Xenopus tropicalis: one gene and its partners. The protein of the gene in region 1 purifies or fractionates together with the protein of each later gene. This does not show direct contact. Links are inferred from orthologs where the notes say so. Each region holds a gene or a part of one and is shown in the gene's direction. Other genes may lie near its edges. The genes, in order: pop7, rpp40, ibtk, rpp30, pop1 and rpp38.

Region 1 (4,182 bases):
CACCTGTGTATGGGGGTACTGTGTATGGGGGGGCTACTGTGTATGGGGGTACTGTGTATGGGGGCACCTGTGTATGAGGGTACTGTGTATGGGGGGGCTACTGTGTATGGGGGTACTGTGTATGGGGGTACTGTGTATGGGGGCTACTGTGTATGGGGGGCTACTGTGTATAGGGGGCTACTGTGTATGGGGGTACTGTGCATGGGGGGCTCCTGTCTATGGGGGTCACCTGTGTATGGGGGTACAGTGTATGGGGGTACTGTGTATGGGGGCTCCTGTGTATGGGGGGCACCTGTGTATGGGGGTACTGTGTATGGGGGGCATCTGTGTATGGGGGGCACCTGTGTATGGGGGGCACTTGTGTATGGGGGTACTGTGTATGGGGGCACCTGTGTATGGGGGTACTGTGTATGGGGGTCACCTGTGTATGGGGGTACAGTGTATGGGGGTACTGTGTATGAGGGCTCCTGTGTATGGGGGGCACCTGTGTATGGGGGGCACCTGTGTATGGGGGGCAAAACTGGTACATAGTTATAACTCACATATAACTGACTGCCTTCTCTCTATATTTGTATTTATATGTAGGAGTTGCTATATTGTTTCCCTTAGGCAGTACAGTATGAGGGTATAGCACATTTGCGTCTGATCCCGCCATTTCATCTATATAAAAGGAGTATTTTTTTTAAAAATGGGGTGTGGTAATTGGGGTGTGGCCACAAAAGTGGGTGTGGTCAAAAATTGCAGTGCTGCGCGCGCCAAAACTTTTTGTCCCTCTTTTCATTTTTCAAATGTTGGGAGGTATGGGCTAGGGGGCCATTGGCCCCAGTGAGGATAAGTAATGGCAGCAGGGTATATAATAGCGGCTGCCGCCCCACCATAGGGGAACGTAAGGGTTAGTACCCCAGGCATAGGATTAACCCCTGAGCCACCGCTGCCTGTAGGGATCTGTTCCAGTAAAGGGCATCCATCTTGGGACTCCCGGCCACTACCTATATATACAGGGACCATACAATAAACTCTGTAATGTGGAACCCACTGGGCTGGTACCGGGGCCTTCTCTCCTTGGGACACGGGGGCCTTCCCTAACCCCACTGGGTATATATATATATATGGGGGTATATAAGGGGCAGAAGGCACAACAGAAGCGCCGCCCCCATTTCATACTCAGGGCCCATTAGCAGGAAACCGGAAGTGAGAGGCCACAGCTTTCCGATATCTCCAGCAGCAAACATGGCGCCCGAGTGTCTCCGCACAGCTCTGCGCATGCGTGTGGGGAAGCGCCTCCCTCTGGCGCGCAGTTATTACTCGGTACTAAGGGGCCTCTCTTTATTGCGTCAGAAGCGGCTCTCCTTAAAAAAACATGTCCTAAGCGGCGATCCGTCTGTCATTGTGTAGGGAGAGCTGAAGTGAGGTATGATGGGTAACGGGTCTCTCCTTCCCTAGTGTGTCCGACTCCTCATCCCCTCCCCCGGGCCCCCCCCCCCCGGGCCCTCCCCCGGGCCCCCCCTACCCCTTACCCGGGCCCCCCCTACCCCTTACCCGGGCCCCCCCTCCCCTCCCCCGGCCCCCCTCCCCCTCCCACCGGGCCCCCTCCCCCCCCTGCCCCCCTGCCCTCCCCCCTGCCCTCCCCCCCCTACCCCCCTTACCCGGGCCCCCCCTACCCCTCCCCCAGGCCCCCTACCCCTCCCCCGGGCCCCCCTGCCCCTTACCCGGGCCCCCCTACCCCTCCCCCATGCCCCCCTACCCCTCCCCCCGGGCCCCCCTGCCCCTCACCCGGGCCCCCCTGCCCCTTACCCGGGCCCCCCCTGCCCCTTACCCCGGGCCCCCCTACCCCTCCCCCAGGCCCCCCTACCCCTCCCCCGGGCCCCCCTACCCCTCCCCCTCCCCCGGCCCCCCCTACCCCTCCCCCAGGCCCCCTACCCCTCCCCCCGGGGCCCCCCCTGCCCCTCCCCCGGGCCCCCCCTGCCCCTTACCCGGGCCCCCTACCCCTCCCCGGGGCCCCCCCTGCCCTCCCCGGGGCCCCCCCTGCCCCTTACCCGGCGCCCCCCTCCCCCGGGCCCCCCCTCCCCCTCCCCCCGGCCCCTCTACCCCTCCCCCGGGCCCCGCCCCTGCCCTCCCCCGGCCCCCCCTACCCCCCTGCCCCCTTAACCCGGGCCCCCCCTGCCCCTTACCCGGCCCCCCCTACCCGGGCCCTCCCCGGGCCCCCCCTTGCCCTCCCCCGGCCCCCCCTACCCCTTACCGGGCCCCCCTACCCCCTCCCCCGGGCCCCCCTACCCCTCCCCCGGGCCCCCCCTACCCCCTCCCCGGGCCCCCCCTACCCCTTACCGGGCCCCCTACCCTTACCGGGCCCCCCTACCCCTACCCCGGGCCCCCCTACCCCCTTACCCGGTTCTATTAGCGGGAAGGAGACTGTTGGGCCGGTTCTGTTAGCGGGAAGGAGACTGTTGGGCCGGTTCTGTTAGCGGGAAGGAGACTGTTGGGCCGGTTCTGTTAGCGGGAAGGAGACTGTTGGGCCGGTTCTGTTAGCGGGAAGGAGACTGTTGGGCCGCGTTCTGTTAGCGGGAAGGAGGACTGTTGGGCGGTTCTGTTAGCGGAAGGAGGACTGTTGGCCGGTTCTGTTAGCGGGAAGGAGACTGTTGGGCCGGTTCTGTTAGCGGGAAGGAGACTGTTGGGCCGGTTCTGTTTGGGAAGGAGACTGGTTTTCTGTTAGCGGGAAGGCAGACTGTTGGGCCGGTTTCTGTTAGCGGGAAGGAGACTGTTGGCCGTTCTGTTAGCGGGAAGGAGACTGTTGGGCCGGTTCTGTTAGCGGGAAGGAGACTGTTGGGCCGGTTCTGTTAGCGGGAAGGAGACTGTTGGGCCGGTTCTGTTAGCGGGAAGGAGACTGTTGGGCCGGTTCTGTTAGTGGGAAGGAGACTGTTGGGCCGCACAGCTGGTTCTGGATGGTAAATAACTGCTTATCTTCCCCTTTAGGAGATGGCGGAACAGAAATCACTTCCTGGGCGGGGCCTTCACACACGTCGCCCCGCCCCCCGGCCGCCTCGGAGCCCAAGTGACATTTATGTCAATACAAAGACTGATTTCCGGGCCCAGTTGGCTCGGTGCCGCCAGCTTCTCGGTGCCGGGGGCTTGAGGGAAGTTCGGGTGCACGGTTTGGGCCTGGCCATTGGGCGAGCCATTAACCTGGCGCTGCAGCTGCAGCTGTCCCACCCCGGCACCCTGCTCCTCTCCCCCAGCACCTCCACCGTGGAACTCACCGACGATCTAGAACCCGAGGGTGGGGAGGACATGGAACCCGGAGCCCGGAACCGGAATAACTCTGCCATTCATATCCGCGTATATCGGCCGCAGGGAGAGTGAGGGGCTGCCCGGGGCAATGGTACTTATGTTCCCTTGGTAACAGCCCTTATTGCCAATGGTGCCAGGGGCAGCGCTGATTGGCCGATCCCCCTGTGGCGCCACATTCTCTCCATGTTGGGACGTCCCTACTTACCATTCCAGCAACCGGACCTGCGCCCAAGCTTGTGGCTTCTGTACCAGCCAATCAGCTGCACCAACGCACACTGAGCATGTGCAGTGCCCCTGACACAGAGGGGGCGGGGGCTCACAGCCACTGCACATGCTCAGAGAGACGCTCAGTAATTCCTGCCTCTTGTGTCAGTCATCCATTAAATCATTCTGGTCATGTGATGTTTCTCTCTACATGGAATGTAAAGGGGGAGGGGCTGGAGTAAAGGGGGAGGGCCTGAGTAGGAATTACAGAGGGGGCTGAGGTGCAGTAAAGGAATGGGGTTGGGGGGGCTGGGTTGAGCTGGAATAAAAGGGGGGGGGGCTGAGGGGGAGTAAAGGAGTGGGGTGGGAGGGGCTGGGGTGGAGTAAAGGGGGAGGGGCTGAGGGAATGGATGGAAAATGGACCCCACACCTCTTCATAAGGACAACTGAGCCCCCTCGGCATTTGCACCATAGCAACCCATTCTGTTGCTAGGGGCCCATAGCGCATTCCAGCTTCTAATGGTGTGTAAAGGGTTAAATCTGCTGCCTGCCCCCCAACTGGGGAAAAGTGGGAGGTCCCAACTGCTCCGGGTTTCCCGTTATGTTTCTTTAGGCTCCGCCTCCACTTACTTAGGGAATAGGTGCGTCAGCCCGTACAGGCTCTATAAAGCACAAATGGTTACCGTGAACTGA
Region 2 (3,500 bases), on another chromosome or scaffold:
TGGGTCTTCAAGGCAAACCATCCCTTTATTCTGGTAAAAACCCTCTGCGATACAGTAAGTATTTTATTCTTATCTTTATAGTTTTTCTGTTACTGTTTTTTAAGTAATTGTAAAATACATATTAGTGCATGTCAGCACATATGTGTTTTTCTGGCAATTTGTTGCAGTAGATAGGGAAAATATACGACTGCCCTCATTATTAAGTTTTATTCTTAATCGTGCTTAAAGGACAAGGAAATGTGAATTCCCTGGGGTGCTGATATAGTATGCCATTCATCTTAAAGGAGAAGGAAAGGCTAGTAAGAGTTAATCTCAACCCCCATAAGTGCTGTTCTGTGCCATGCACAGCAAATTAAATTATATTCTGCCTTCAAGGTGGCACCGTTGATACTTTTTCTCATGTCCAGCTGATATCATGGAGCACATTAGAATGGTTTCATAGGCTGGAGCTGTGTATGAAGACAACATATTGTCAATTGCATGACATGAAGCTTGCCAAAATCTTGTAGTATCTTTTAGCTAGACTTTTGTCCTTAGGACTTGTTATCCCGACTTCATGATATTCTAAGCGCCTCTCTATTGGAGACCGAAAGCATTGTTTATTACTGTGCAAGGGGGGGGGACTGGTTTTGTGCTTTTCAGCAACACCCCTATAAGTGCTATTCTGTGGCATGCACACCGGCAGACGGCAGGGCGGGGATCAGAGCGGGGGGAGGGGGGGTTTGTGTGAGCTGGCAGGCGGCAGATGCAGGAATCGGAACGGGGGGAGGGCGTTTGTGAGCCGGTAGCTGAGGCGATCGTAGCGGGGTGGGGTCTGGGGGTTTGTGAGCCGGTAGGTGCGGGGATCTCAGCGGGGGGGGTGGAATGGCCCATACAGACATGCTGGACAAGATGGCGGCGCCGTTCACTGAAACAACTATGTAGTTTCTAGTATGTGTATCTCTGTAAATCTTTTATTAGGCAAGCCAGAAATATAGCGTTTTTACACAGCAATAGTAGTACTATTTAATAGTGTGCTTAATAGATTTTGACTTTCCTTGTCCTTTAAGATGTGCTTGTTTGGCAAGGTTGCCAATTGAGTGGATCTTTGCCTGATTTGGCCACCTACATTTTGAGCCAATCTGATTGTTTGGCCTTGTTGGCAACACTTAGATCATAACGGGCACCTTTAGAGGTGATGTGTTTTTGCAGCTGTAAGAAAAAGTCATGTTGAGAAAATCTAAATAAGCTGTTAAATATATAAACAGCTATAAGAAAAGGATTAAAATTAAAAACTTCCACTATAGTTTTGGTGTTTTTTTTTCATAATAGCAATGATTCCTTTTTAAGGACAGTGTCAGAGAGCATATATTTCTTTAAAAAGATAACTGCATATTCAAAACAAATTTTTTTTTTACAGTTATTAAAATTGACCTAACTGAAGAAGGTCTAGCTCCTGGTGGCAAGAAATTTCAGCGTCTAAACTGGGCATTTACTGAAAAGAAACCTTTAAAATGTGACTTTCTCCTAGCTTGGGATAACACAGGTAGTTTTGATGAATCTTACAATGTACACCCTTTATTTACAGTACATTATTTTGGTTTACTTACAGACACAGACCTTAGCTCCTGAATGAGTTAATGGTGTAGTGCAATGAAAATGACTTACAGTACACTCAAAAAAATTCTCGCTGGAAATGGTGTTGCATTTCATATTAAAACTTGGCACATGCATGTTAGATTTGAGATTTCTTAATACTTAAAGGGGATGTCCACCCAAAAAATCGAGTTGGTATGAGCTTACTCAGAGTGGTCCTTCCAAGCGTTTTTGTAGTTTACATTAATTTTCTGTCTTTGGTAGTTTCTGAGATATAAGCAGGTTTAGACTGCTATTAGCAGGCTATGCACTCCCTCCATTTTGTTAACCCCTTGGGTTGCTGACTGCTATTAGCAATTATAATGCAGATATAGCAGAAGCTCCTGAAAACAGAAAATGAATCTTGGCGAAGCACAGAGAAAGTTTACATAATTTTTCATGGTTTTAAAGTTGTCTGTAAATATAACTTGCTATTGAAAGCAGCTTTTTTTTTTTAAAAAAACTGGGTTTTCTGGGTCTAAAACAGGAGTCGGTTCTCCTCTTGGTTATTTAATCTGATGGCTTGCAATATTGGTTTAGGATTCAGATCCAGGAGTGCAGAGAATGCTTTCAATTGAAATTGCATTTACAAATAACTTTTAAACCACTGAAATATTTTTGGCTAAGTTGAAAAATTGCATACATAGATACATAGGGTTGAAAAAGTATAACCTTTTCAAGCAAACCCAGCACACACAACCTATACCGACCCACATAAAAAAAACCCTATATACCAACATGAATGCCAACTGTAGATTTCAGTATCACAATAGCCTTGGATACTATGCTTGTTTAAGAACTTATCCAGGCCCCTCTTAAAGGCATTAACAGAATCTGCCATTACTACATCTCTAGGAAGGGCATTCCACAACCTCACTGCCCTCACCGTGAAAAAACGCATACGCTGCTTCAAATGGATGTAACAATCCTCTAATCTAAAGGAGTGGCATCTGGTGCGCTGGTCGGTTTTATGTGAAAAAAGCACATCCCCTATCTGCCTATAATCCCCTCTAATGTACATGCAAAGAATAATCATGTCCCCTCACAAGCGCCTTTTTTCCAGAGAAGAAAACCCCAACCTCGACAGTCTAACCTTTTATGTTAAATCTTCCATCCCCTTTACCAGTTTAGTTGCACGTCTCTGCACTCTCTCCAGCTCATTAATATCCTTCTTAAGGACTGGAGCCCAAAACTGCACTGCATACTCAAGGTGAGGCCTTACCAGGGACCTAAAAAGAGGCAAAATTAGGTTTTAAGGAATGTACAGTAAATGGAATTTATCTTTCAGAGTATTTATATTCCGCTTACACAGTGTTTCTTTTTATTTATATATTTCAATTTGTGATGTTTCTGCTCCACATCAGTGTGATCCTCTCTATGTTTTGTATTCAGGAGCACCTTCCATATTGTCATACTTTTGTAAATACACTGTGAAAGAGTGTAACTTTAAAATAACTTCAAGGATATCAAGAGATTTGCCTTGCCCTGTGTTGAAGAGTGGAGACCTGCATGGGAAACCTGAAGAATCTTGTAGTTCTGAAGAGCTTTTTGACTGGCTCGGTGCTGTGAGCAATAGCATTGACTGGTGGGTAATACTGTAACAATTATTAAGAGACACTACATACAGACATGTTGCTCCTGTAGCTTTTTATGCCCCCATCTTCATTTATATAGATGCCTCCTTATACTTTTTTATATTGCAATGAGTGCTGTGATGTGGTGCGTCATGTAAGGTTAAAAGAACATAAAAAAAAAATAAAAGCTTCTACTTGTATTGGTTCACTTCGGGATATTGTAATCCAGTCTTTATCCTAATACTTAAACCATGTCAAGGAAATCATGTACTGGATCATGAACTATGCAAAAAAAATCTTTATTTTTAATAA
Region 3 (3,500 bases), on another chromosome or scaffold:
GTGTAGATGTGTGGTATTGGTCTATGTTTGTGTGCTGGGGTTTGCTTAGAGGGGTTGAACTTGATGGACCTTGGTCTTTTTTTCATCTGTGTAATGAATACATTAAAATGTGTCTTTCTTTTACCACGCCCTAGTGTATGACACAGTTAAAGAATATATTATGTTTGATGGCTTTTAACAATTCTATTGCATTCTTTCTTACAGTATATTCTTGTATATAATCTGTGTTTCTTTTTCTTTGTTCTGCACAGATATATTTGCAATCATGGAGATCTGAAAGGACAGAAGTTTGAGTGGAGGGTTGTCCCTCCCTCTACATTCTTCTCTATATTGCTGCTGGACTCATGTCTTGAACATAAGAACAAGATTATATTGCACAAACATTTTCTTATAAACTTGTGGAAGTGGGTTGTAAGGGATTGCTTTGTAATAGTAATATTTATTATTAATTGTAATGAAGTGCCAAATCTATTTGTATAGCACAAAAAAACCATAGGGATATCATGGTATGAGTTTTCTATGGTACTTGGGCTCTTTTTTGGAATTTGCTTCCACTGCAGTGACATTTGCAAAGAAGAAATGTCAGATTGAAAAGAAATGGAAAGAGTATGGCCTGAGTGCACTACACGTTGTCGCTCTCTCCAGCATGCCTTGGATGTTATTTCCGTGGTGACTAGAGGAAGTGAACAGCAGATAAAGATCTTCCTTTCTTCTTACTGCTGTAATGCTACTACACTAAAAGATACCTTTGGGCGGAATGTTACTCATATTGCAGCATCCTGTGGGAAGAAAAATGTACTTGATTGGTTAGTTACAGAAAAAGGTGTTGACTTGTCAGTCAAAGACAAAGAATCAGGATGGACAGCACTACACAGAAGCATTTTCTACGGACATATTGATTGTGCATTATCCCTCTTAAAGGTTAGTAGTGTAGATACATTGTATTTAAAGGGGAACTAATATAAGGTTTAGCTCACTTCTATAAGAAACTTTCTAAATATAATAATTAAATATTGTATACTATGTCTAAAGTAACTATTTACTATTCCTCAGTCTGTGTCTTTATTCTCTCCTCATGCAGTAGTTGGAGTCAGATTTTGATTGTCCGTAATGTCTAATAGATGCTTTAGAAGTGCTCCCTTTGCCGAAAGATGTATTAGGGATCACTCTTTGAAAATAACCAGAAATACTCTCTCTCTACATTTAGGATTTGTGCTGGAGTCAGTTGTTTTGTTCGATCTTGTTTGTGCAGGAGTTGGTTATCTGAGTAAGCTCTAACACATATGCTAGGAAAGGAACTGCCCTCCCCAAAGTATTGTAACCACCTGAAACTGGTCATGTCCTTGGGATTACCCATACTTCCTTAATTCACCCAAAAAAACCCCCAAATGAACATCTTAGTATAAGAAGTATCCTTGGGTCACCAGCATTTTTGAGGGCTTGTCCTAGTCTTAGTTTATATTTTGACTTGTTAGCTTGAGCTTAAATAAACAAGAAATCTGGATTTACACAGTACTTCAATTTTATAGGAGGTGAAGAGGAATATTATAACCAGACAGCTTTTGAAAAGTGGAGACTTACACCAGGCTGTATATAGAAATGAAAAAAAAAAAAATATGAAGTGCAAGTGAACATTTGAACATTTGTGAATATTTATTTCTAAAGTTTTTTTTACATTTTATCTTAAAGGGGTTATCCACCTTTTAGTATAACGTAGAAAGTAATATTCTGAGACAATTTGCAATTGGTTATTTTTTATTTGTAGTTTTTTAAAAAAAAAATCAGTTTTTTTGTTCAGCAGCTCTCCAGCTTGGCCTTTCAGCTGCTATTAGGTTACTAAGATCCAAACTACCTTAGCAACCAGGGTGTGGTTTAAATGAAAGACTGGATATAAATAGGAGAGGACCTGAATAGAAAAATAAGTAATATAAAGTAATAATAACAATTTAAACAGTAGCTTCACAAAACAATAGTTTTTTGGCTCAGTTGTCAATGACAACTAAGCTGCAAAGAGTTAGAAGAAGGCGGTAAACAATTCAAAAACTATGAAAAACAATTAAGATCAATTGAAATGTTGCTTAGAACTGGCCTTTCTATCAAATACTAAAAGTTAACTTAAAGGTGAACCACCCCTTTAATGTGAATTTATACATGTATATCAGAGAGTTACGTCTTGGTTACTTATATAAAAGGAAATTTGGCTTTAAGACACTCTTGTAAAATATTGATGATCTTGTATTGCAGTGAAGCCTTTTTTAGTATAGCGATTATAGTATCTCACTTTTACTTGTCTTTATTTCCATAGCATGGCAGTAACCTTTACATTCAAGATAAAGATGGATATACTCCGTTGGATGTGGTAATGAAAGACAGACCTCCCCACATTATTTTCAAAACTAGCGGTATGACATATTATCTCTCTAGTTTCTTTCCATAACTTCCAAGCTTAAAACCAGTTGCAAAACTGTAAGGAACTCCTTTAATATTGTTTATTTATTGATTTACTCAGTGCAACTTTCAATAGGCTGCTCAATGTAAACACCAGTATGCCATGAACATGTATAAAAAAAAATGATTATTAATTGCACACCGCACCTCTCACAGGTAACAATACTTGCTTTTTGAGTTTTCGATACCACATGAAACAATGATAGTGTAGTACTTTCCAGTACTCATTATATTACAAAAATGTCTAGTCTGATATTCACGTTCAACTGGGGCACCGAGAACATACACCAGAGTCATACTGGTGCAGCACACTTGCATTGAATTCCTCTCTCCTTTCTAGAATTGCAGATTCAGATTTATGAATTTCTTATAGGAAAATTGTCATAAACCAGTTTAAAGGAGAAGAAAAGTCATTTTGGCCTTTTACTGCCAATAGATGTGCCACATTAGTGCCACCTATAACAATATATTTATTATGCAGAAACCATTAACATACCTGAGTAAACAGCTTTAGAAGCTTTCTTAATATAGCAGCTGCCATTTTAAAGTGATACTAACAGCCAATTAAAAAAAAATTTTTACGCCCTCTGTTGTGTTTTAATTTGTATCAGCTTTAAATTCCTTATAAACTAAATCTGCAAAGTTTTTTCGCTTCATAATTATGGTAGCACAAATTACAGACCCACGGAGCAGCAATGTTTGTTCCCCTCTTCCGGGGTTTAATTTAAATGCCTCCCAAGTGAATAAATATGCCCAATAACAAACCTGCAATGCCCCTTCTGCTTTCTGCCGGTGTGTGACAAGCTTCAGCTCTGTTGGAGAGAGCGGGGAGAGCCCTTAGAAGCAGGCCCGCTATTTAAATTCTTCATGCGAAGAGCAGAGGGGGGGGGCAGCCCTTTGAAGCAGGCAGGCAATGGAAAGGTCAAGCCTGCCTGCTATCTAGTTCACGATGCGATGCGAGGATCGAGGGAGGGGGAGCTCGTTGAAGCAAACGGCAAGCTGAATCCTCACAGTTTATGATGTAGTCCTTTGGACAGATTGAGAAGCTACAG
Region 4 (2,658 bases), on another chromosome or scaffold:
GTCATTCAGTAGGTATCTATCTAACTTGCTCATTCTCTTCTTAAACAAACTTACAGGAATAAGTGACAATTCATTTTATCTGTGTTAGGCAAGAGAAGCCTGATACTATTCAGTGTGGCTTCTCCAATGTTATTCTTCACTTACAGAAGCATTCTAAGATTTATTACACTTGCAACACCATATGCCTTCTGTACTTTTTTTTTTCTTAAATTATAGGCACTGGAAATGAGAGGCCCCTATGATATTGCAACACTGTATCCTTTTCCAGCATTTGTACTGTAACTTAATTGAATTAATTCTGTGGAACCTTTCTCATGGGAGTAGAGGTAAGTACATTCCTAACATTTGTTATATAGGGGCAAAAACATTATGATGGATTTGTGTATATAATTGGCTGGCTCAAGATAGAACATTTTTTTCAGTGAGTGAGTCTTACAGTTCTAAAGGGAAATAAGGACTGTAAATGTTTGACGTTTCAGGCAGAACGAGCCAGGACATCGCATTTTCAATCACATCTTAAAGGAACAGTAACACAAAAAAAGTGTTTTATAGTAATTACAATATAATGTATGCCATGCACTGGTAAAACAGATCTGTTTTCTTCAGAAACTTTACTATTAACTAATTATAAAAACAGGCTGCTGAATTATTAGAAAAATGGACTTAGGTACAGTTGCTGGGCCAGTCACTGGCCTTGTTACCATAAGTGGCTAAATATATATAGGGATAATAGGTAAAGTAAAATGCAAACTGAGGAATAAGAGATGGAGTAGAAATTGAATTGTCAGTATAAATTCAGTGGAGTACATAGAGGGGTAACCTGATGACAGAGGGGGAAGTGAGTTTTGTACAGATCTATAAGAAGGTGCATAGATAAAGCTAATGAAGCAGTTGGGAAATAGACTTAATGGGCAGGGCATTATCATTTAGGAATGAACAAAAAAAAACTATTCTGGTGTAAAAAAGAAGGGAAAGGGAATTTATGTCTATAAATAGAGGACGGTATTAGGAAAAGGAAAAAGGGCAGGCAGACATTTTACAAAGGTGAGATACATCATGCACTAATTGCCAATATTCTAACAAAATTAGTAAAATAATAGGTCAAATGTTTGCTGTTGAAAAGTATTTCTCATGTCATTCTTAGTTAATACCCTTAAATCACTGACAGAGGCTTGCTGTTTGGACTGACAGAAGGAGTTGCCAAGGCTGCCGTATCTACAAACTGCCGTTCTGCTGTTCTGCACGGAGGTAAGCCATGCCTTGGATATGTAATGTAAGAGCAGTGTTGCAGCTAGAGCTGTTTAAAATCACCAAACAAAGAAATATTTCCAAGTTTGGCCTCTTAAATGGCCCCCATTGTGTTTGGGCACTGCAGAAAGCAGTGTAAAGCACCTACAGCCCCTACATTCTTATAGGATTTGCCAGTTTTCTAAAAGATTGTGGTACAATCTATAAGTTGCATATACGAGTTTTAGGGCATCTTTAAGAGAATCCCTTTTTGGGCTTGTCTGTGGCTCCAAAATTAGCAGCCATAGGGACCTAAGATTGATTCTAGTAAGAGCACTATCAGCAAGGAGTATGTAGGTTCTTTCATGTTTTCATGGGTTTCCTACAGGTAGTCCAAAAACATACAGGCATATGTATTAGTGGGTCAGCAGATGGAATACTAAAGACTGTTCAGAGTCTCAGCATCTGTCAAGCATCGAATAACCAACCTGCAAACCAATATAATTTTTGTATCTTGTTCCCCATGCAGAAACAAGAAAGACTGCTTTTGGTGTCGTGTACACTGTGAAGAAGACATGTTTGGAAGAGGAAGAAGCGGAACCAGTTTGTAAAAAAGCCAAGAAATCTTAGTTACATAGATTTCTACTCATTTTTGCTTTTCCCTGATGCAGTGTTAATCCTAACAAGTGAAGTTGCAGAATTACTACCCAGCATTGCAGGATGGACCTATTTTTGCTTTTATTTATATCCAGGGCAGCTATTTTTGTAAACCAATAAATAGCAATGGAGAAAAGACTTTGCCTTTTGTTTAATGTTTATTGTTAAATAATAACAATAATAATAGATTGACTACAGAGTATTTTTTTTGACGCAGTTCTGCTGCAGAACATTTGAGATTTGTATTTCTATTAAAGAGCCATTATACAATGAATTAAAGATCTCTTTAGTCTGTCTCTAGAAACAGTTTCAAACCTCCATATTCTGTTTTACTCTGCTTTAAATATATTTATATGCCATTATGATGCAGTGTATACACGTCTTGCTAATTGTCATATTATCATACAGAGATGAGACAATGAAAGAGCAGTGCAGTTACACTGTACCCACCACTAGAGGGCAAAGAATGACCGCCAGATAAAATGACAATGATCATTATTGGTCTCTCCTAATTCTTACATATGTCACCTTTTAACATTTACACATTTAGTTAAAAACACTTTGTCAAAAGATGCCCAGTGATATGTAGGGCCTTGACCTGCATTTGCCAGTTAAGTAAAGTATAAGAACTCATTGTAAAATTTGAGATGCTGTACAGTGCTGTGAGCTTCATACCTACGTGCTATAAATAAAAGCACAGTCCGGGAGCTCCACATTTTAACTTGCTTTGTACTGTATCTCAATGGTTTCATAAGAATTCATGTTCATTATCCA
Region 5 (2,923 bases), on another chromosome or scaffold:
AGAGGCACAGGAGGACGTGAGAATGGAACCTGGTTCCCAAGGCACCATGGGAAATGAGCTGGATATGGAAAAAGCAGGTGGAGCCGGTGTGTGTGTGTTGAGGTAGGCTGGCTTATTTACTTACACATCCACATTATGCAAATAAATACCTGTCTGTGGGGAATTGCCCTGCAAAGGCAAACAGTATAGCACCTCCCGCAGCCCTGTAAATGCAAATGCACCACCTCTTACAATTTTAGTTTGCTTTTTAATGAATAACTGCTCTGAGTATTGGCCTGAGATATAAGCCAGGGGTCTGTTCTTATGCCTTTATCTATTTTCATTAAATGCCAGGAACAAAAGAATTCTGAAGGAGCTTTGTACACTGTGTAGTCTGTGTAATCAGAGAGGCCCAAGATCCAAGCAAATTCCCAGTCCTGCTCCACACGGACCATCCGACATGCTACTGCAGGTTCTGCACACTTTCCCTCGCTCCCTGGTATGGGTCAGGCTGACCATGCTGACAAAGGGTACCCCAGAACTCCATGCCATGATCTGTATACCTTCTGAGCAGGACTTGGTGCAACTTGCTACTGACAAATCATTCGCTGGCCCTCAGGAGCCTAAGCATGGAGATCCCATCAAGAAGAAAGTACTGAAACATCAAAAGGAGACAAAGAAGAAGAAAGCAAAAGCTAAAATGGAGAAGGAAGCACCACAACAAAAGGAAGAGATGTCCAGGGATGATGACAGTGATCAGCTTACCCTCGGCTTGTGGCCTAATCCTCTACCTCCGGTCATCAGTCACTGCTGTAGAACCCTGCTCGGATTCGTCACCCATGGGGACTTTTCTATGGCCGCCGGCTGTGGGGAGTCATTAGGGTTTGTCAGCTTAACTGGCCTTATAGACATGCTGTCTGGTCATCCTGTGAACAGGACTGGGTTTGTGCTGGTTAGAAACCCGTCCTCTTTGCAGTACAGGTTTGCCAAAATAATGGTTGCTGCATAGACACAACTGTAACTCAATCCTCTGCATGTCTGCTCCAGATACAGCGCCTGTGACAAACTCATTTACTATAGTTACTGAGCAGTAATAAAAGGTTTCAGTTATATGGGTTGCTCAACTCAATAGCTGCATGAAAGACCGACTGGAAAATGAATCCAAAGACAAGTAATACCTCATAGAAAGGGGAGTTTCCAGCTCCTCCTTGTATTCAGAATTCAATTCAGCAGTAGGGATTTGTGTGCATTGTAACATAGACCCAGATCGCTCAGGTGGGACCAGCATGCACATAATAGTTCCAGTTTAGCTTGGATATAATGTGTTGTACACCCAGGATGGGCGTGGGGGGTGGGGGGAGGGGGAGGAGTGAATTGTGGAAGCATTACAGAATACTAACACCTATAGGTCAAGTGGGTCTGCATGAAGTTAGTCACCTATACAAGACCAATAGAGGGTGCGGCCCTGCCCCATACATTTAAAAGGTGACATCAACTCTATGTGTCACATAATGTACATGAATTTTATACATTGCGAATATCAAGAATGTGTAACTGGAGCTGTTCAACCTGGACTCTCCTTCAGTAGTTCTACTGCTCAGTTTGGCATGATTTATAGACGTGAGCAGAGAAGTGACACTCCTTGCTTCACTAAATCAAGCTTTTGATGTTATTTCCTGCCCTTGCCCAGGTTAAACAGCAGGGGGCTGTATTTGTGTATATCATAGCCCAGTTAATGCACTGGGGGATCAATATCTATGTCCTGTCAAGAGTCCCTTGACTGCCTTTCTGGATGAATTTGCCTGCATGTGGGCTCATGGGCCCATATGCTACTGTAGGGTCTCTAAGTAACATAAGGAAGCGCTTATGTGTGACAGCTTCCCTTGGCCTTGTCCCTTCATCTCCACCAAAGCTATAGATGAGAGTGCTGAAATGAGAGTGAGGAGTTGGCAGTGGGCCCATCATTTCATTATCCTGTGCCCTTCTCTGCATCCTCCACTCCTTCCTTGCCATTTAGCAGCCTTTGTGATTAATGGGTCTCACATCTCAGCATAAAGAATAGAATTCAGTATTCTTTATTGTGAACTGAGCAACATTAATAGGCTTTTTTTTTTTCTTTTTTAGCAAAGGACGCCTGTACAATGTGCGCTGTTCTTTATATTTGGAGAAGGATACTCCTGCTGCTTTATTTAACCATTATGTAGCCTTTCCTTTGTGCATAAGTTATGTATATTTATTTTCTGTTTTTCCTTAATAAAAGCAAATGTTTATGTTGCAATGCATTAAGGAGTTCAGATGTATGAAAAATGCCTTAAGGAGTCCCGGACGCAGGGTGCTAGGCTGGGCACAGCCATTTGCACTGTACACAAAGAAATAAAGAACTGCACAACAAAATGTGGATTTTGGCATCTGGTTACTTCAAATAAATGAACAGGTTGACTTCCTTTCCTCCTTTTATTTAATATTCATTTATTGAACGAACATTGGTAGTTGCTTAGAACAACATTGTCTTTAATTATGCAAAATGTTATATTTGGCATTAAATGATAACATGGGATTAGGGTCAGGCAAGATGGACATTTGTTATGAGTTTCCAGCCTTTAGAAGGGCAACCTCTTTGGTAAAATCATAAATAGATTATATGATACTGTGTGATGATTGTAAGCACCCCCGTCCCCTGCTTCTCTTGCATTGTGTATTGGTTATACATTGGGAAGTTCAAAGCATTAAACACAATCAGCCACAAGATGGCGATATTGAAACACAGTCTTTGCTCTGCATTCTCCCTTGCAGTAATTTAATATCAATTTATCCCTTTATTCCAGTCTATAGGCAGTCATTCCAAACATGTTGATAGGAGAGCAATGAGAAATGCTGATGTTGGTGAAACTATTTTCCTTGTGATTGTAGGGTTAACTCCTTGGCTGCCCAAAATGTTAAACTT
Region 6 (4,069 bases), on another chromosome or scaffold:
GAATTTTACTCTCTTCTTTTCTCTATCATCGGTCTCCAGCCTTAAGCTGGCCATACACGTGGCGATCTGACGATGTTTTGTGCGACCATCGGTCGCACGAAACATCGTCAGATTCGCCACACACAGTCAGGGCTGAAACAGCAGATAAGGAGGTAGAAACAATAGGATTTCTACCTCCTTCTGCCGATTCAGCCCTGATGGCAGATTTTGGTCAGGCGCCTTCTATGGCGCCCGATCAAAATTTTCTAACCTGGCCGATCGGCGAGTCGACCGATATCAGCAGCTTCCTGTGATATCGGTCGACTCGCCGACATGCCATACACGCACCGAATATCGTACGAAACGAGGTTTCGTACGCTAGTATCGGTGCGTGTATGGCCAGCTTTATTCTCAGAGAGCCTTTCTCTACTTGCTTTAATGCTCCGCCATCTTTTTTTATGTACCCTTCTCTCCGAACAACCATTGTCTCTGTTCTTTACAGAATTATTCTAAACTTGTATTCTCATTCTTATGCTGCTTTCCCAATTCTCCTTACTTTGCTTTCCCATTTACCTTCTGCTCCACCTTTCCTTATTGTCCCACCATCTCTTTGTTTACCATAAATCCTGAATTATTATTTCCACTTATCTTCACTGTATTTTCTCTGCACTTCTTTGTTAGTTTTTTAACCCCTGCATTGCCAGGATAGCCAGAGCCCAGGCCAACACACATGTAATACACAGATACAGCACAGACACATCTATTTCCCCATCCGCCCTGCTACTTCTCTTGCTGCTGTGTTTCCTTTCTTACCTATCTCTTTAAGCTAATATAATAATTGTATCCCACCTATTAGTTTCCCTTCATTTAACCCTCTCTCTCCCCTATTTCTATATTACCATTTTAATCTCCATCACGCCCATTCTTTTGTTTTCTCTTGTTTTGTACTTTATTTCATTCTGCTTTTCAGTACCTTCCTACTCTGCTATTTGTCCCCCTTCTCTGCTGCCGTCACACTTTCTTTCCCAGCATGTTTGCACTATCTGATTAGTTCTTTAGCCTTGGCATGTGTGTTATTCCCAACAGCAATGTGGTACAAAGGCAGAAGGAAGGGGCCGCACACAGACCGGCTGGGGAAACACATACAGGGAGTCAGTGTGGGACCTACCGCCCAATAGTCCGGCTCCTCAGCACATCCCGCACATCCCGCACCGCCAGATCGCTGTTTAAATATCCCGCAACACCTTAAAGTCTCCCGCACTTCCGCAAGCGGCTAATTCAGGCGTCACAAATCTCATCTTGCGAGACTGTGACGTCACGTCATTACGCAAAATGAGTGCGCCCACCCTCCGCCGGGAGTTGGACTCTCCGTTAACCCTAGTCACTAAGGTAGGCGAACCGTGGGACTGTGGGAAAGCTATCAGGAGGGGAGCCTGACACTATTATCTCTCTATATGGCGCTGATACCGCCTGGGCCTGGCTGCATCGGTGTGTCTGTGTACCCAGCATGGGGCTCTGTGGCACTTTCACTTCAGCTCCCGTTTGTCCTGCGGTTAGTCACTTTCTTTCTCCATGTGCCATACATATATAGTAGAGCCAATCAACTCTGAGTGAGTGAAAATATGTCCCCTCCAATGGGATGTGCATTTTATTGACAGAAACCTAATGGAAGCCGAGAGGAGGCCTGTCCAAGCGTTCTTGTGATCCTTTATCCAGAAACCTGTTACCCAGAAAGTTCCAAATTACGGAAAGGCCATATCCCATAGACTCCATTATAAGCAAATAATTCTATTTTTTTTAAATGATTCCCTTTTCTCTGTAATAATAAAACAGTACCTGTACTTGATCCCAACTAAGATATAATTACCCCTTATTGGGGGCAGAACAGCCCTATTGGGTTTATTTAATGGTTAAATGATTCCCTTTTCTCTGTAATAATAAAACAGTACCTGTACTTGATCCCAACTAAGATATAATTACCCCTTATTGGGGGCAGAACAGCCCTATTGGGTTTATTTAATGGTTAAATGATTCCCTTTTCTCTTTAATAGTTAAACAGTACCTGTACTTGATCCCAACTAAGATATAATTACCCCTTATTGGGGGCAGAACAGCCCTATTGGGTTTATTTAATGGTTAAATGATTTCCCTTTTCTCTGTAATAATAAAACAGTACCTGTACTTGCTCCCAACTAAGATATAATTACCCCTTATTGGGGGCAGAACAGCCCTATTGGGTTTATTTAATGGTTAAATGATTTCCCTTTTCTCTGTAATAATAAAACAGTACCTGTACTTGATCCCAACTAAGATATAATTACCCCTTATTGGGGACAGAACAGTCCTATTGGGTTTATTTAATGGTTAAATGATTCCCTTTTCTCTGTAATAGTTAAACAGTACCTGTACTTAATCCCAACTAGGATATAGTTAATCCTTATTGGATGAAGCCAGAGATTCCTGGCAATATTCAGCCAACTGAACCTGAACCAAATGTTTCCTGTCTTTTCACTGCGCAGGAAGCCGGGGGTCACAGAGTTGTTGGCTGCCTGTCTCATCTGAGTTCTGATTTTGTTTAGTATTGGACTGGGTTCTTGATATAAAACAATCTTTCTCTATTCTTTGTGTGGACACTGTTTTATATACAGTTCTGTTTGAAACCACTTGAATATAGAACCCTTTATCCAGAATGCTCGGGATCAAGGGTATTCCGGATAAGGGGTCTTTCCGTAATTTGGATCTCCATACCTTAAGGCTACTAAAAAATCAATAAAACATTAATTAAACCCAATAAGACTGTTTTGCATCCAATAAGGATTATTTACATCTTAGTTGGGATCAATTCCAAGGTACAGTTATATTACTACAGAGAAAAAGGAAATCAGTTTTAAAATTCTGTATTATTTGGAGAGCTTTCTGGATAGTGGGTTTCCGGATAAGAGATCCCATACCTGTATATAGGATAAACTATGCTACAGCACATGCAGGGTTCTGCTTGCCGTTAAAGGATCAATACACTAATTTTCTCCCCAGATCTTGCTTCAGGGACTGAAACATTGTGCCCGCTTCTACACAAAAAAATATAATGATTCCTGTATCGGTGGCCTTACTTCTATGTACTATTGTCACACGTGCATGTCAAGGTTCATTCCGCAACGCAGAACTACATATGTGATTGTGCTTGTGAAGGAATTTTGTGTATTTATGGATTTTGTCCTCTAAATTGTGTCAAGTGCATAACAAGCGATTTGCCATTAGAATTACTATAGCATACAGAAATTCTTGGAATGTTATCAGGTTTGGAGCATTATTCCAGACTTTCCTTATATATTTTAGGGGGGTCAGAGTATTTTTTTGTGTGTCTTACACCACAAAAAATGCACTAAATGTGTTGCATATTCAGTAGCTGAAGAGATCTCCTGTGCAATTTGTATGCACTAACTTCCTTTTGGGGTCTCTAAATGCCAGGTACTTTGGTAATCCTATGCACAATGGGCATCAAACTGTTCAGTGGCCCCTTGGCTTTCATATTTAGGGTATTGTTTATTGGTACCTAATGCCATGTGAGAGATATGATGCTTGAAAGTGGAAGATGAGGCGATTTCTTAGAATTTTCATAATTTTCTATAGAAACTGCAAATTTCAGAAAAGCATTGCTTGTATGGGTATGGCACCTGTTATCCAGAATGCTCGGGACCTGGGGTTTTCCGGATAAGGGTACTTTCCGTAATTCGGATCTCTTACCTTAAGTCTACTGAAAAAATTATTTAAACAGTAATTAAACCCAATAGGACTGTTTTGGCTCCAATAAGGATTAATTACATCTTAGTTGGGACCAAGTACAAGGTACTGTTTTATTATAATAAATGTGAATTATTTGATTAAAATGGAGTCTATGGGAGATGACCTTTCCGTAATTCGGAACTTTCTGGATAATGGGTTTCCGGATAAGGGGTCCAATACCTGTACAGCATTGTATTTAGAGCTCTAAATAATAATTGGCTATTTGGTAGCCCCTATGTGGATTGGCAGCCTATAGAAGGCTCTGTTTGGCTTTACACTGGGTTTTATGCAACCAAAACTTGCCTCC

The links.
Region 2: the proteins of pop7 (region 1) and rpp40 purify together in Homo sapiens (co-immunoprecipitation; 4 studies listed by BioGRID and IntAct, with this or other methods). This does not show direct contact. The link is inferred for Xenopus tropicalis from reciprocal best matches to the Homo sapiens genes POP7 and RPP40.
Region 3: the proteins of pop7 (region 1) and ibtk purify together in Homo sapiens (affinity purification with mass spectrometry; 3 studies listed by BioGRID and IntAct, with this or other methods). This does not show direct contact. The link is inferred for Xenopus tropicalis from reciprocal best matches to the Homo sapiens genes POP7 and IBTK.
Region 4: the proteins of pop7 (region 1) and rpp30 purify together in Homo sapiens (co-immunoprecipitation; 4 studies listed by BioGRID and IntAct, counting the BioPlex papers as one, with this or other methods). This does not show direct contact. The link is inferred for Xenopus tropicalis from reciprocal best matches to the Homo sapiens genes POP7 and RPP30.
Region 5: the proteins of pop7 (region 1) and pop1 purify together in Homo sapiens (affinity purification with mass spectrometry; 3 studies listed by BioGRID and IntAct, with this or other methods). This does not show direct contact. The link is inferred for Xenopus tropicalis from reciprocal best matches to the Homo sapiens genes POP7 and POP1.
Region 6: the proteins of pop7 (region 1) and rpp38 purify together in Homo sapiens (co-immunoprecipitation; 3 studies listed by BioGRID and IntAct, with this or other methods). This does not show direct contact. The link is inferred for Xenopus tropicalis from reciprocal best matches to the Homo sapiens genes POP7 and RPP38.

What each region holds. Positions count from the first base shown.
Region 1 is NC_030679.2:152,167,106-152,171,287, forward strand, and holds pop7 (uncharacterized protein LOC100037866), read left to right. Parts: upstream 1-1,394; 5' UTR 1,395-1,411; intron 1,412-2,970; 5' UTR 2,971-2,973; coding exon 2,974-3,357; 3' UTR 3,358-3,682; downstream 3,683-4,182. UniProt on the Homo sapiens protein: Component of ribonuclease P, a ribonucleoprotein complex that generates mature tRNA molecules by cleaving their 5'-ends. Also a component of the MRP ribonuclease complex, which cleaves pre-rRNA sequences.
Region 2 is NC_030682.2:88,074,105-88,077,604, reverse strand, and holds part of rpp40 (ribonuclease P protein subunit p40), read left to right. Parts: coding exon 1-54; intron 55-1,399; coding exon 1,400-1,525; intron 1,526-3,006; coding exon 3,007-3,199; intron 3,200-3,500. UniProt on the Homo sapiens protein: Component of ribonuclease P, a ribonucleoprotein complex that generates mature tRNA molecules by cleaving their 5'-ends. Also a component of the MRP ribonuclease complex, which cleaves pre-rRNA sequences.
Region 3 is NC_030681.2:88,844,923-88,848,422, forward strand, and holds part of ibtk (inhibitor of Bruton tyrosine kinase), read left to right. Parts: intron 1-251; 5' UTR 252-597; coding exon 598-921; intron 922-2,305; coding exon 2,306-2,402; intron 2,403-3,500. UniProt on the Homo sapiens protein: Acts as an inhibitor of BTK tyrosine kinase activity, thereby playing a role in B-cell development. Down-regulates BTK kinase activity, leading to interference with BTK-mediated calcium mobilization and NF-kappa-B-driven transcription.
Region 4 is NC_030683.2:36,834,767-36,837,424, forward strand, and holds the end of rpp30 (ribonuclease P protein subunit p30), read left to right. Parts: intron 1-216; coding exon 217-254; coding exon of another isoform or gene 255-282; exon of another isoform or gene 283-326; intron 327-1,168; coding exon 1,169-1,248; intron 1,249-1,756; coding exon 1,757-1,857; 3' UTR 1,858-2,158; downstream 2,159-2,658. UniProt on the Homo sapiens protein: Component of ribonuclease P, a ribonucleoprotein complex that generates mature tRNA molecules by cleaving their 5'-ends. Also a component of the MRP ribonuclease complex, which cleaves pre-rRNA sequences.
Region 5 is NC_030682.2:129,314,851-129,317,773, reverse strand, and holds the end of pop1 (ribonucleases P/MRP protein subunit POP1), read left to right. Parts: coding exon 1-102; intron 103-333; coding exon 334-988; 3' UTR 989-1,308; intron 1,309-1,391; 3' UTR 1,392-2,103; coding exon of another isoform or gene 2,104-2,233; 3' UTR 2,234-2,423; downstream 2,424-2,923. UniProt on the Homo sapiens protein: Component of ribonuclease P, a ribonucleoprotein complex that generates mature tRNA molecules by cleaving their 5'-ends. Also a component of the MRP ribonuclease complex, which cleaves pre-rRNA sequences.
Region 6 is NC_030682.2:31,854,856-31,858,924, reverse strand, and holds the start of rpp38 (ribonuclease P protein subunit p38), read left to right. Parts: upstream 1-1,269; 5' UTR 1,270-1,368; intron 1,369-1,436; exon of another isoform or gene 1,437-1,531; intron 1,532-4,069. UniProt on the Homo sapiens protein: Component of ribonuclease P, a ribonucleoprotein complex that generates mature tRNA molecules by cleaving their 5'-ends. Also a component of the MRP ribonuclease complex, which cleaves pre-rRNA sequences.